Ovis aries: one gene and its partners. Each later gene encodes a partner of the first gene's protein in a complex. Links are inferred from orthologs where the notes say so. Each region holds a gene or a part of one and is shown in the gene's direction. Other genes may lie near its edges.

Region 1 (4,299 bases):
ACCAAACTGGGGGTTCATCATCCAAGTTTTATTCTTGTCAATACACATGTACAGCAAGTGAAAGGCACAGTTCTAGTTCTCACCTCTCAAATATGATGGCATTTTCAAATAGATTAATGTCATTCATACAATAAATACTTGTTGAGTGTAACAAGCACAATATTCAAACACCCATGGTAAAATAATAGCAAGAAAAGAGAATAAAGAGCATCTTGGAGGTTATCAGCAAAGTCTTCAAAGATGTGACAACCGGCTCTGAGAGCATGTCTCCTGATTGATTAAAAAGAAAAAAGGCAGGAGCATTATAGAGAGAACCAGAAGTTTAACAGGGCTTCCCAAGAGGCTCAGCGATAGAGACTCCAGACCTGCTAATGAACGCGAGTGGGGTTCCACCCCTGGGCTGGGAAGATCCCCACTTCAGTATTCTTGCCTGAAAAAGCCCAAGGAACAGAGAGGCCTGGCGCGCCACAGTCCATGCGATCACAGTCAGACACGACTGAGCACGCACATTCGAGTTTAAGAATATGAAATTAATAGTAAATAGCGTCCACTGAATGGATTGCTTACTTTGCTGTGTAGTTTCTAAGTTTGTCCCACCCATGACTATAGCCTGCCAAGCTCCTCTGTCCATAGAATTATCCAGGCAAGAATACTGGAGCGGGTTGCCATTTCCTTTAAGCATACAACCACCCACGGAAGAGCGACTGCTATCCCCGTAAATAGACGGGGGTAGGCCCAGATCACATTAGTCTTCGTTGGCAGGGCCGTATTTGAAAGTAGGGTTGCCCCATTTCAAAGTCGAGAGCCTGTGAAACAGGTACAATAGAGGTGTGAAGCAATATGGTGCTGCTAGAAGGGAAGTGGTGAGCAGTGAGGCTCACCTAACTAACGGCAAACCCGGACGAGATGGGCTGGACTGGAATCAGGGGGATCTGTATAAATGCAAGATTTCATGTGTCTATACCCATCCCAGCTCTGCCTGCTGAAAAGGCCTAGAAGCAATGACACACCAAGTTTCATTCAATGGTGGGGATAGTAAGGGTGTCTTCTGTTTCGGCCCTGCCGGCAGGCTTCTCTGTCACATTCCAAAGCCCTCTCGCCACAGACCGTTGTCCTTCATCTGCCTGCAGCCGGAAAACGCCGAACTCCTGCAAAGCCTTAGAAAGCAGGGGAAACTGCCTGCCAGCTCGGCTACTATTACTGCCCACCAAAGGGTCGGGAACAAGACGCCCACAGGAAGAACCCGGAAGGGCGGCGACCCTAAAGGCGGAGCAGGCGCGGAAGCCGGGCTGGCGCCGTAGGCGGGGCCTCGGGCTCCTTTTTTTCTTATTGGAGTGCACCACTGCCAGTCTCGGCCTCTTTCCTCCCGTCCCCGCCTCTTCCGTGCAGGCAGTTTGTTAGGTGGCGGGTGAGAGCCGGCGGTCACTTCCGGTTGGGGGAGAAACGTTAGACCGAAGGCGGGGCCGGGAAGAGGGAGGAGGAGGAAGAGGAACGAGAAGGGCGGTGGGTGCTCTAGGTTGTTCGGCAGCGGCTGTGGCTCCGGCTCTCTTCCGGGAGGACGATGGACAGCCAGGGCAGGAAGGTGGTGGTGTGCGACAACGGCACCGGGGTAAGCGCTCGGCGGGGAGGCTGCAGCGGCCACAGGCCGGGGCCCGGATGTGCGGGGGGCGCGCGGGCCTAAAGCGCCCGGAACTGCACCCCTGGGACCTCTGCCGGCCGGTCCGAGGGCCGCTGGCCAGCGCTTTCCACCCGCGTGGGTGTGGGGCTCGAGCGGACTGGACCCCTTAGTAGCCCCGAGCTGGGCACTCCCGCAGCTCGGGGTAAGGACGGCGGGCGAGGCCGATGATGGTTGGGGTTTCCACCTGCTACCGGTCCGGGGCCGGCCCAGCGCTCTAGCCGCAGGAATTTGGCTCGAGGGCTGGAGGGGTAAAAGGCTGGGCTTGTGCGTTGCGAAAGGGCTTCACTCACCAGGGTCGCCGATGTGTAAAAAAGGAGAAAGACCAAGAGGCCTTGCTCTTCCTGTAGAGTTGAAGATACGGAACAGGAGTCAGGAAACGGGTTTAAAGAAAAAAGGGAACTGCTGTCATGCAATGAACCTCAGTCCTTTCGCAGTGTCTGAGGCTTTTGTTGTTTTGTTTTCTTGTTTTCTGAGAGAATGGAAGGCCAGATCAGCTGTGCATCATTTACGTTTTGTTCTCCATGCTGGAAATTTGGCCCAGGTGCAGCCCCGCAGAGACCAGTATGTTTCCGTGGTTGATCTTGATCCTTTAAGGCCCAAGTAGTAATTCCACTAACCTTAGGGAAGTTAACCTTAGGAAGTTTGGGTACCCCTCCTCCTTTTTTCCCTTATTGGCAGACTACAGTTAATGTTAGTATTTAAGATCCTAAAATGCAAATAATTGTAAAAATCAGAGTAAAACACTGATTTAGACGTTATTTGAAAGTTGTTTCTCTTAGTTGCCCCTCCCCCCAATAAAAAAAATTTTTAGGCAGCAAAGTCAGCAAATTAGAATACAGAACTGTTACTTATTTTGGATGAGTTCTGTAGTGATCACTTCCCCTGCATTAAAGCAATTTCTAACCATTTTGAAGCTGCAGTATTTTGTCGCTTTATCCCCTTCCTTCCATAAATGTAATATATGAATTAAAATAGATTTTGTATGAACTTCAAGTCACTTTGGAAACTGGATCGTTGAGGGGAAAAAAGAGCTGATATTCACCGCCATAATACTGCCTTTGATTGAATTTTTACAAGCAGTGATTATACTAGCTTTATCTGAACTAAGTTGAAAATAGATGAGAGTAAGAAGAGTGTTATCATTTAATACAACGTTCATACAAAATAGCATAGTACTTAAAAAGAGGCAGCTTCCATTTATGTGCGTGTTCTTTATTAAAGTTATTTATGTGTCCACAAATGTATATGTGTATGTGAAAGTTTTGAAGGGATTTGTGAGAAATTTATGTTCGTCGTGGTTATCCATGAGACTAGGGATAAGAGTGAGGTCAGGTGGGAAGGACTTCATGACTCAGTTATTGGGAAAATGTTCTTTATTTTTTAACAAAACATGCAATGTTAAACTGTCTTTAAATGAAATTATAAATGTGTTCCTTTTACAGTTAAAACTCAGTTTAAAGGTGCTTTTTTAAAAAAAAATTGGCCTAATTCCCCCCTGTAGTCTCAAATTGACATCTAAATAAATGTAAATCTTTAAAAAAATTGATACTAATGTATTTTTTTTGTGACTATGTCAGTTTTGTTTTTTTTTTAGAAATCGAAGTCTGTTATATTTTAATGGATTCCTCCTCTTTGAAGGACAGAGAAACCAGTTTTTGTAGTATATGTTATTTCATAATATGCAATTAAAAATCTTTTTTTTCTTGTTCTTAAGCTTTTTTTTTTTTTTGGCTCTGTAGCATGTGGGGATCTTAGTTCCCTGGCCAGGGTTGGAACCCACGTCCCCTGTAGTGGAAGCACTGGACTGGCAGGGAAGTCCCATAATTAGTTTTATGTTACTGTTTCATTAGCTTGTTACAAAACTCATTGTATATTTGATTAGCCTTATGTCTATAATTTAAGAATCTTGTTCCTTAAGACAAAAGATAAGTTACTGTGACATAAGTAGAAAAGTGTAGTTAATTCAAACAAAACTTTGTGTAATGTTTGGCATTGTATTTCTAATTACTTTAAATATCCAGATTTTCTATAGGACATGATTGACTTAATGAAGAAACTCCATGAAGAAAGCTCTGATGTAGTATGTAGTCAGGAATGCTGTGATATTTCTGAAAATTTAGAGAATTAGGAGCCACTTAGAGTCTGTATTTCTTATACTTCATAGTCCTGTTGATTTTATTTAGGTACCTGAAGGTCTAATGATTCCTCTGTGATTAAGAAGATACTAAAATTTAGTTTCTAAAAATTTATGAGAATAGTTGTTATTCTGAAGCAACTTACCTCTTAACACATTTTAGGTTTTAAAATTATAGGCCATTTGAGAAGTTGATTTTTTTTTAAAGCCTCTCTGGCAGGCCCTAAATGGAAAGCCCTAAGGGTAGATGAGTTCTTACAGTCACATGCCAGGTTATGGTCCTGCTCCTCAACCTCTCCAGCTCCCAAGCTGGCCAGTGCCTCTGTAGGGCCTCCTAGAGGAGGAAAGCGCATCCGATTCCAATACCTTATGCACTTCATCCTCATAACCATCCAAACCTAAAATGGAGCCTGTGTAAACCGCCACCTAACGTAAAGCTGCGGAAAGTGGCCAGATAGGTGAAGATGTGGAGATCTGCTTCAGCTTA
Region 2 (3,566 bases), on another chromosome or scaffold:
ATTATTGAAAACTCAGAAATGTGGGGGAATGAAAATAATTATAATTCCATACCTGTAGATAATCATTACTTTTTGTTGTTGCTGTATGCTTATAGAGTTTTTCTATGAGTTTTTCTTTTCATTAAAATAGATAAACTGCTTTTCATCTGTATAGCAGCATACATGAACAGCTTTACTTGGTAATAAGTTTATTTCTATAATATCTTTTTTAACATCTGTATTTTGATAATCCTGCAGTTTAGTTATATATAAACTTTCATCATATATTTATTGACTTTTTTCCTGTCATAAATAGTATTGAAATGAACAATTCTTGGTAAAGTCTGAATTGTTTCCTTTGAATAAATTTCTGGAAGTGAATGGCTGGATTTTAGACTGCACATTTTTTTAAGGCTACATATGGTATTGCCATACTACCCTTCAGAAAAGTTGTAAAATTACATTGCCTCTTAACCATCTTTCAGTAATTCTTAAGAACCTATTTACTTAATTGTTTAAAGCCCAGATTAAATTTTTTTTCTTTTTTTTTTCAGATTAAATTTTAATGTTTAGTTCTGTTAAGTATTGTAGAAAACTCAGCAATATGGGGGAATAAAAATGTAATCGTCCATAATCCCACACCCAGAGCATTGATCCCCCCACTGTCCATAGCCATTCACACATCCTAGGAGCCCCAAGTATCTCCTTAGTTAAATACTAGTAAATAATAACTTAGGTAAATGCATTATTATCTAGGCAACATAATCTTTTATAAGAGGAAATGCTTCTTTGGTTTTTAAAAGTGAGTAACGTCATTGAAATTTCGTTTTACCACCTTCTGCTTTTTTGTGGGTGTTTTTTTTTAATCAGAGCGTGTGGGTGGGAGGTTATAGCTCTCCATACAAGGATATTTTTCTAAACGGATAATTGCATAGTCTTTAAACTGAAGACAGCAAAAGGTGGTAGAAGCATACTGTAAGATCATGACCGGCAGGAATGCAGAAGGTATCACTTTGTGTTGAATAGAAAGAGAAACATTGTTGAAAGGGGAAATTAAGTGTTCTGTGTACTTGGCTTGCTAGGTGAAAAGCAACTGCTGTTGGAGCAGTCATTCATCAAAGAAAAAGATCATTATAAATGAAGACCACTCTAATACCTATAGTCACTTGACTATAGATGTGAAATGAAAAATAAGTTTTAGAAACTTAAATTTTTATTTATTAATAACATTTCTGAAGGATGCATCAGGGTAGAACTATAATTCAGTTTCCTTCTTTTGGTCTATTTTTTTTAAATCAAGAAGTGAAATGTATTGATTTAATACATTGATAATTTGTTACATCTATCTGTAAGTAAACCCTTTCAGCTCTACCTTCAAATATGTCGAGACTCTGTCTGCTTCTGGCTGCCTCTGCTGCTGCCATGCCAGCCAAAGCCAGCCTGTCTTGGTGCAGGAACTTCCAAGCTGGCTTCCAGGCTTCTGTCTCCTGCTCCCCCGACCCTCCTGCTGCCCCGGGCTTATTTTCAATATGACAGCCAGCTGGTCCTGTTAAAATGTAAGTCAGATGACATCACTCTTTTTAGAAAGAAAGAAAGCGAAAGTGAAGTCGCTCAGTACCATAGCCTACCAGGCTCCTCCCTCCATGGGATATGTAAGTCAGATGACATCACTCTTTTTAGAAAGAAAGAAAGCAAAAGTGAAGTCGCTCAGTACCATAGCCTACCAGGCTCCTCCCTCCATGGGATTCTCCAGGCAAGAGTACTGGAGTGGGTTGCCATTTCCTTCTCCAGGGGATCTTCCTGACCCAGGGATCGAACCCAGGTCTCCCGCATTCCAGGAAGACACTTTAACCTCTGAGCCACCAGGGAAGTCCAACAGCTTCTCATTTCTGTGACTGGAGGCCAGAGTTCTCATAAGGGCCTGCAGGGTTTACGCGTTCTGTCTTCCTACTGCCTCTCTGACTTCCTGCCCTGCACTCCACTCCAGCCCCCTTCATCTTCTTGCTGTCCCTTGAGCACACTGAACACACGCTAGCAGCAGTTACTCTTCTCTCTCTGAAATGTTTGCCTCAGATACACCCAAGGTGTCCTCTTCCTTTCTTCAGGTCTCTACCCGAATGTCACACTCGCAGTGCAGCCTTTCTAAAAACTGGAACTACCCAACACAAAAATGAGACTGAACGATCTGTTGTTTATTTACCTTCAGGATCGCGCAGGCAGCATTGTCTTGAAGGTGCTCATCTCTTTTAAAGCTAACGATATTGAAAAAGCAGTTCAATCCCTGGACAAGAATGGTGTGGATCTCCTAATGAAGTATATTTATAAAGGCTTTGAGAGCCCCTCTGACAATAGCAGTGCTGTGTTATTGCAGTGGCATGAAAAGGTAAGTCATGAATTATACAATCTGTATGACTGGTTCCTTTGTAATGGAAAAAACATTGACAACCTCTAGCCTAAATACCTGTTTTGACTCTTTGGTTATACATTGGTGGTTACTACAAATAAATGCATGAAAATGAAAGTTTAGATTTATGCTTGCTAGCCTTGGTCTTGAGATGCTGATTTGAATTCTTTAACAATTGCCAAAAGCTGGAAAACCCACGCATCCATGAACAGATGAACGTGCATGCATGCGTGTGCAGTCGCTCTGCTCATTCATGTCCAACTGCGCAGCCCCATGAACCATAGCCCACCAGGCTCGTCTCCATCAGATCTTTCAGGCAAGAATACTGGAGTGGGTTGCCATTTTCTCCTCCAGGGTATTAGCCCACATCTCCTGCATTGCAAGTGGATTCTTTACCATTGAGCCATCAGGGATGCCCAAACAGATGAACAGAATCTGACACAGACATACAAGGGAATATTACTTGACCAGAAAATGTTTATCTACATGGTACAGCATGAATGAACCTTGAAAACATTATGCAAAGTGAAATAAACCAGATACAAAAAGACACAAAATACTGTATTCCACAAAATACTGTGATGGCTCAGATGGTAAAAGCGTCTGCCTACAATGCAGGAAGCCTGGGTTCGATCCCTGGGTTGGGAAGATCCCTTGGAGAAGGAAATGGCAACCCACTCCAGTATTCTTGCCTGGAAAATTCCATGGACAGAGGAGCCTGGTAGGCTACAGTCCATGGGGTCGCAAAGAGTCGGACATGACTGAGCGACTTCACTTCACTTCACTTCCGCTTGCATGAAATATCTAGAATAGGCAGGTTCATAGAGACAGAAAATGGATTAGAAATTACCAGTGCCTGTGGAGAAGGGAGACTGGAGAGTTATTGCTTAATGGGTACAGAGTTTCTGTTTGGAGAGATGGGAAAGTATTGTAAATAGATAGTGGTGATGGCTATACAATATTTGAACGTAATTAATGCCACTGAATTTTATATTTAAAGATGGCTAATGTGGCAAATTTTATGTTACATATTTTATCACAGTTCTAAAAAATGAAATCAGGAGTAGGATCAAGAATTCTTAATTTCTTTTTTCTGTTTTCATGCATTTTGCTTTGCAGTATTAGCAGATGCTGGTACACTATCCATCCCCCCAGCCCCTCCTCTCCCAAAAAAAAGGCTATG
Region 3 (2,452 bases), about 32 Mb from region 1:
AGACCCCATTCCCTCTCTCTTTCCCCTGTAGGAGCGGGCCCAGGGCGTGGTGCTGAAAGTGCTTACAAACTTTAAGAGCAGCGAAATCGAGCAGGCTGTGCAGTCACTGGACAGAAACGGCATTGACTTGCTAATGAAGTACATTTATAAAGGGTTTGAGAAGCCCACAGAGAATAGCAGCGCAGTGTTACTCCAGTGGCATGAAAAGGTACGTGAACACATTGCCCGCTGGCTCACCCCAGCCCAGGGTTCAGATCAACAGGCCAGGCAGTCCCAAACACAGACAGGATGGTCTGATAGGCCGTTGAGAATGAGGGCCACGCCTCAAGCAACCTGGAACATCTGAGCACTTTCCTCTCCCAAGGAAGCACTGGTAGGGGTCCACCATCTCTGGTCATTGCCATTGCTTTAGCTGAGTTTGTGCCGGGGAGGCCTTGGGGCCTGTAACTTGGCTGGTGAGGTTCAGGTAGGCTTGCTGGTGGCAGGGCTTTGACATACTTTCTTTGGGCTGGCGGAGGTGGTGATCCTGGGCCTTAGATGCAGGCTGAGCCCTCCGGTTAGCTCTGAGGGCTTCCTGCTCCAGCCTTACCTCACCAGGCCACACAGAAACAGTGGTAGATACCTTGGCAGTCTCTTAATAGGACCTTCATCCTCCTGAAGCTGGAAAAGCTGGGCCTGTCCTTTGTTTTAGTACAAGGTGTTGGGGGGTGGGTAGGGGGTGGGGGGGTGGAGGGAGGGCCACCTCTTGTCAAGCCAGTGTCCCTCATGAAAGGCTCTGCCGAGTACTAAGGGAGTGGCCCTTAACTGAGGGGTCAGTCACATGGCCAGCCTCAGGCCTGGGCTGAATTGTGGCCTTTGGTGCTGCTGGTGGGTGTTCTGCCTGCCCTGCCAGAAGGTGAGCTCCTGGGCTTCGTAATGGAGGTGGCTATGGTGCTTGGGAGCTGAGCAAAGCCCTTGGAGTCGTCTGAGGGGCCACGCTCTCTGGTCCCTTCATGGCAGCCGGATGCATGAGCCTGTGGACATTTCCACTGCAGTGGGCTAGTGTCTGTTTTAGGGCCTAGGGCTGTTTCTGGATACAGTGAGCTTGTCAAAGGGAAACTGGGGGGCTCTGTGAGCTTGGTGACAGTGTTGCAAGCCCAGTTCTCCTGCCTTAAAGAGCCAACAGCTTTTGGGGACCCTTTGTTCCAGGAAAGGGCTCGATCCGTCGAATGCAGGCCCTGTTGACACCTCTTCTGTGCTCTCGCAGGAATGCTTTTTCAGAAGATCTGTGACATGGTCAGGAGTGTAGTCCTGTCTCCCCTGGCAAGAAGCTAGGAGCCCCTTGGCCAGCCAGGTCTCAATTGACACCTTTTCTTTTGCTGCCCCTACAGGCATTAGCAGTAGGAGGACTAGGCTCCATTATAAGAGTTCTTACAGCAAGAAAGACTGTTTAAAAAAAAAAGAGAGAGACTCATGTTACCTCAAGAAGAATTTTGGATGCACAGGCTGTCGAAGAAGGGATTGACAATGGGCCGCCTGTCTCGGAACTCCCAAGTCAACTATTTCACGACCTGCATCCGCTGAAGTGTTTTATTTTCAAGGTGGAGGGAGAGATCGTCTGTTTTCATAAATCCTTTGCAGGATCTGATAGTCTATGCCTTTGTCCACGAGTAACGCAGAACTGACATTTTGACTCTACCAGAGTGGCTGGCCCGCCTTGGTCCGGGGTACCTGTGTGCACTGCCTGTTTAAAAGGAGGGAGGGGTGGTTTGGGCAGGTGCAGATCCAAGGGCTGCGGTAAAAGGGAGAGCTAGGTTTTTTTTTGAAGCGGAAACCCCCGAGGGTTTGTACAGACACCCCGACCTCCCAGAGAAGGCGGGCTCTCTTGGGTTCATTGTAAAGTGCCTGCTGCATCAATAAAGCTCTTGGCTTATTAGTATATACTCTGCCGTGTGTTTCATGTGTATAAAAGGAACGGGAAATAAATGGGATGGTCATGGATGAGAGGTGGCCTGTTCTGGAAACTGGACGTGGAGTGGTAGACAGACAAAACTCCCTGCAGAGCTGCCTGGGAGCGAGCGTGGTGTTCTCACTCTGGCTGCAGCGGTCCCTCGAGCCTGGGCCACAGTGCTGCTGGCTGCTACACAGACATGTTTTGCTGAATAACTATTGTTTTTACTCCTCTGATTTGTATGTAGTTTTGGAGCTTATTTAATAAAGTCTTCAGTTTGTGTGATTGCACTTGGGAGTCCTGGGAGTGGGCTCAGGTGTGCCCATCAACCCCTCCGGACGCTGGGCTTGGCTGTTCGCCAGGAAGACTGTGATGCTGAGGGGTTTTCTTTACAGGAGGGAGAGACAAACAGGTAGGAACAAGCCTGTACACAGACAAGGCACATTTTGTTCCCTGTAACCGCTGACAGTGGGCCTGTCTGAAGAGCAGATGCTTTTGTTTCCTTTTTAGCACATGGAGCTG
Region 4 (4,133 bases), on another chromosome or scaffold:
ATCCGAATAGGATGAAGGATGACTGCTTTTCTCCAGTCTTCACCCGAAGTCCTGGGCTTTGCTTTGACCAACTCTTAGGTCACAAGTCCAGGACTAGGGTGAGAGCACTGCAGGGGGAGGAGGCCGCCATCGGAGGTGGGGCTCAGTCCCACCTGGAGGTGTTCCCTGGGCATCTGCGAAGCTGGGGAGAGGCAAGTGGAATCCAAGGATGCAGGTGTCACCGCAGCATTGAAGTGCCCTTGTCCTTACGGGAGGGGGAGTAGCCGGTACAGATCACTTGAAACTTTTTTCTGACTGAAGCCATCACTTATATTTGCCACTGCTGGATGTGGTGGTGTGGAGTTGGGGGCGGGGGTCCTGCTAATAGCCCCTCAGTGTCTGCCCAGAGCCAGGAAGGAGCTAGAGTTTACCAAGCACCCTGTGTGCTCATCTCAAAATGCTCCTCACCTTTGGGCGCATTTCCTCCTCCCGGCCACCCGCAGGTTGGGATTGTGTAATGGGAGCTGGGACCGGTGAGCCCAGGACCCTGTTGAGGGGGTCAGGGACAAAGTGACCTAAGAGACACTGACCCCTGTCCTGCAACATAAAGGTAAGTGGGCCAGGTGTGGACAGGGCGTGTCAATGTTCCAGGCAGAAAGAAGAGCAAGGGTCAAAGCCGGGAGACATGTGGGTGCCCGGGACCTCCTGAGACCCCACACCATCCGCCCATGCCACTTAGTGTCTGGCTGAGCGGAACGCTGGGGGAAGCGCCACCTGCCGGTCATCCCCATTGATGAGGCAGGGGGCAGGGATGGAGAGACCCCTCTGGACCACCTGGCCCAAGACCCACCACATTCAGGCGGCTGCGAGTCCGCTGTGACTTAAGGACGGGAAGCGGTCTGCGGTGGAAAGAGCGTCAGGAAGTGGGCCCTGGGAAGGGGCTGGACCAGCCGAGGGCTCCCCCGTTTTGACGTGAGGACCCCGGCAGCAGGCCGGCGGCCCGGACTGCCCGATTGCCCAACACGCCCCGCACATGCGGAGGTCTGGTCCCCGCTGGGAGGGGCCCGAGGCCGACAGAGAGTTGCGCCCCTCGCCGAACCTCAGTCTCCCCGCCCAACACGCGGAGAGGAGAGCAAGCCTTCCGGGCGGCCCGGGTGGGCGCGGCCCCAGGCGGGGAGGGAGGGAGGGCGGGCCCGGGGCTCCCCGCCCGCCGCCCGGCCCCGCCCCGGCCCCGCGGGGCTGAGCCCGGAGGCCCCGCCCCCCGCCCACGAGGAAGTGGCCGCGCGGCGCGGCGCCCAGAGCCGGTTCGGCGCGTCGACTGCCCAGAGTCCGCGGCCGCGGCGCCCCGAGGTGAGGGGGCGCGGGGGCGGCCCGGGATGCCGGGGTCGAGGGGAGCGCGAGGAGGGGGCGCGTGCAGGTGGGGAGGGCGTTGCGGGGGTCGCCAGGAGATGGGGGGCCGTGGGGAGCTCAGGGACGAGCAGGGGGCACTGAGGGCCCCCCTGGACGTGAGCGGGCGCGCGGGGCGCGGGGTGCGGGCGGGCGGGCGGGCGGGCGACCTCCTCCGGTCGAGGGCGCCGCAGCGCTCGCCGCACTCCGTGCCTTCGGGGCGCGCGAGCCCGCGCGTCCACCTCCGCGCCCGGCCCTCTCGGCCTCCCCTCTCTCCCGTCCCCCGAGCCCCGACTCTGCCCGGCCGTCGGTGTCCCCCGTTATTTCGAGCCGGAGGGCCCCCACGCCCAGTCACTTCCCCTCCATCCTTCAGCCTTCCGGGTTCCTCCAGCGGGGAAATGAGCTGGCGCCCCCGCCCGCCTCGCCCCTCCTCCCTCCCTCCTTCTCTCCCGGCCCCCAGCCCTCCGCCGACCCCGGGGCCAGGTCGAAGGGGTCCGATCCAGGGGGGATTGCTGGGGTCCGGGAGGCGGACCTCCTGAGCTCGCGGGCGCTGGACCGGCGCGTTCCGAGCAGCCCCTGTCTCGCCGGCGGCCCAGGGACCGCGGCCAGGACTGGGGCAGGGCCGGGACCTCGGGGCAGCGACGGTGACACAGAGGTTTGCTGGCATGAAGCAGCCTTAGCGGGCCCGGTACAGACGCGGAGCTGGAGGGCTCTCCGTTTCATCTGGGCTGTCCCGGGAACCCTCCACCCCCCCCACCCCCACCCCCAGCCTGGCGGGCACTGCTACCCGGTGGTTAAGAGCACCCTGGGCTGGCAAGGTCTTCCAGACCAGAAGCTGCTAAGAGCGCCAGCGTCTTCCTTCACTGGCCACTGACCTTAGCAAGCCGCCTAACCTCCCTGGGCCTCAACTTTGCTTACCTGCAAAATGAGGAACTTTCAAGCTGGGAGGTTTACATGTGATCATGTGTGTAAGACACTTGGCAGTGTGCCAGGCACACACACGGACTAAATGTGCACTGTTATTGTCCTTGCTTTTATTATAAGGCCTGCCTATACACTTATCACCTCTGAGATTTAGAGTCAGAACCCCACACTGTGCCGTTGTAGGAGCTGGTGACCGCGCACACTTTGGTTTTTGTCTGCATCTGTTTCTTACTCGTTAAAACAAACACTAGAAGAGTTCTGGGGCTTCTCTTAGGGCGTAAAAGAGAATGTATGTCAAAGTCCTGGGTAAATTCTGGGCATTTAAAGAAGCCAAGTAAATTAGTTAATTATGTATGTGTATATAATCCACACGTCTTAAATCAACGTGTTTGCTGTTTCTCTTTATGTTTGTAGTCATCTGCATTTTTCTATCCTGTCACCATTATAAAGAGAGTTACTATGAACATGTTTGCTTTAAAAAAAAAAAAAAAGGCAGTGGCCGTGTTTTTTAGCATTGAAATGAATTTATGCCACAAAAAAATGTTAACAATTTTAAAGTTCCTGTTAATGGTATTTTGTTCCGTTTGTTTCCACCTGGTTGGTTGGAATTGTATGTTACCACACTGCCCTTCAGAGAGACTTAACAAATTAGCAACAAATGAGAATTTCTCCACAGTCTTGCCAGCATCAAGTTTCATGTGTTTGGGGGTTTTGTTTGTTCTGTGTTATTTTAGCTAATGCTTTATGGTGCCTTAGGATGATTTTCACTTGTCTTGCTTGACTTGACTTTGCCTGGCTTGTAAGACCTCAGCAGTGGAGTTGGGGAGGAGGGATTGGTTGGTCTTTTGGGGTGTCTAGGGTTGTTCCACACACAACAGGAAGTTGAGTAACAGCTCAGCACGAGTGCAAAATGGCTTGCTGGCAGCTCCCTCGAGTGGCTGAGCTGGGTGGGGACTTCCCTGAGTGTCTGCAGAGCAGAGTTCCTTGCTCCAGGCAGCTCCTGCCTAGTTTAGCCTCAAATGCAGCCAAACCTCTGGATGCAGAAAAGGCCGGGCTGGCAAAGCTTCTCTGAAAGCAAGAAGGAACCTACACCCAGTGCCTCGTCCAGCCCCAGCCTTTTCTGGATAGAGATGTGGGGGAAACATTGGCAGGAGCACCCAGTCAGTATCAAGAGAGTCAGAATGTGAACCCAGCGTGTAAGGAAGAGACGTGAGGTCTGAGACCCTTGGCTGAGCAGCTGGGAGCTTCACCTGGTTTGCTTTGCTTTGGAAGGGCGCTGTATTCTCCCCAAATCCTCACAGAGGACCTTTTAAATGAAAGATCTCTGAGCTTTTCGGATCATGGACCCTATCAGGAAAAAACCTTGAGCGCATACTCCCAGTAAATATTTACAAGTTGCATATATGTACCAGTGAAATAATAGGGCTGGTCTGTAAGGAATAAACTAAGATAGATGTGATTCATTTATGCAATCACAGTCAAGCAGTATTTGCTGAGCACCTACTATGCGCTGGGCACTCTTAATTGGTACTGGGGAAGCACTTATGAACAAAACGAATGCCCCTGCGCCCATGGAGTGTATGTTCCCACCCCAGTATGTGGTCCTTGGCAACCCCTGCCTGGACACCCAAAGCTCCTCCAGCCATCAGGCTGCTGTCCTTTCCCTGTACCCTCAAACCCCAGCCCTGGGTGATTCCCCCGTCCATTCGTCCTGAGCACCACCGTATGCCAGACATGGGGGAAGTGCTGCCTGGAGCACAGAAGGATCCTGGCTCCAGGTTGGTAGCGGGCAGCTTGGAGCCAGTGGGGTAGGTAGGGGTGGAGTAGGGGGAGTCTGTTGGGGT

What was found.
Region 2: ACTR2 (region 1) and ARPC5 share a complex: the UniProt entries of both Homo sapiens proteins name them as parts of the arp2/3 complex. The link is inferred for Ovis aries from reciprocal best matches to the Homo sapiens genes ACTR2 and ARPC5.
Region 3: the proteins of ACTR2 (region 1) and ARPC5L are in contact, whole or in part, in a cryo-EM structure (PDB 6YW6), measured with the Homo sapiens proteins. The link is inferred for Ovis aries from reciprocal best matches to the Homo sapiens genes ACTR2 and ARPC5L. Residues at the interface, in NP_005713.1 of Homo sapiens: Tyr225, Glu263, Phe266, Gln267, Arg319, Lys322, Gln323, Ser338; in NP_112240.1 of Homo sapiens: Arg11, Arg12, Val13, Asp14, Ile15, Asp16, Glu20.
Region 4: ACTR2 (region 1) and ARPC1B share a complex: the UniProt entries of both Homo sapiens proteins name them as parts of the arp2/3 complex. The link is inferred for Ovis aries from reciprocal best matches to the Homo sapiens genes ACTR2 and ARPC1B.

What each region holds. Positions count from the first base shown.
Region 1 is NC_056056.1:43,123,880-43,128,178, reverse strand, and holds the start of ACTR2 (actin-related protein 2), read left to right. Parts: upstream 1-1,448; 5' UTR 1,449-1,561; coding exon 1,562-1,609; intron 1,610-4,299. UniProt on the Homo sapiens protein: ATP-binding component of the Arp2/3 complex, a multiprotein complex that mediates actin polymerization upon stimulation by nucleation-promoting factor (NPF).
Region 2 is NC_056065.1:64,118,492-64,122,057, reverse strand, and holds part of ARPC5 (actin-related protein 2/3 complex subunit 5), read left to right. Parts: intron 1-2,185; coding exon 2,186-2,362; intron 2,363-3,566. UniProt on the Homo sapiens protein: Component of the Arp2/3 complex, a multiprotein complex that mediates actin polymerization upon stimulation by nucleation-promoting factor (NPF).
Region 3 is NC_056056.1:11,024,843-11,027,294, reverse strand, and holds the end of ARPC5L (actin-related protein 2/3 complex subunit 5-like protein), read left to right. Parts: intron 1-31; coding exon 32-208; intron 209-1,370; coding exon 1,371-1,433; 3' UTR 1,434-1,918; downstream 1,919-2,452. UniProt on the Homo sapiens protein: May function as component of the Arp2/3 complex which is involved in regulation of actin polymerization and together with an activating nucleation-promoting factor (NPF) mediates the formation of branched actin networks.
Region 4 is NC_056077.1:37,454,897-37,459,029, reverse strand, and holds the start of ARPC1B (actin-related protein 2/3 complex subunit 1B), read left to right. Parts: upstream 1-1,276; 5' UTR 1,277-1,329; intron 1,330-4,133. UniProt on the Homo sapiens protein: Component of the Arp2/3 complex, a multiprotein complex that mediates actin polymerization upon stimulation by nucleation-promoting factor (NPF).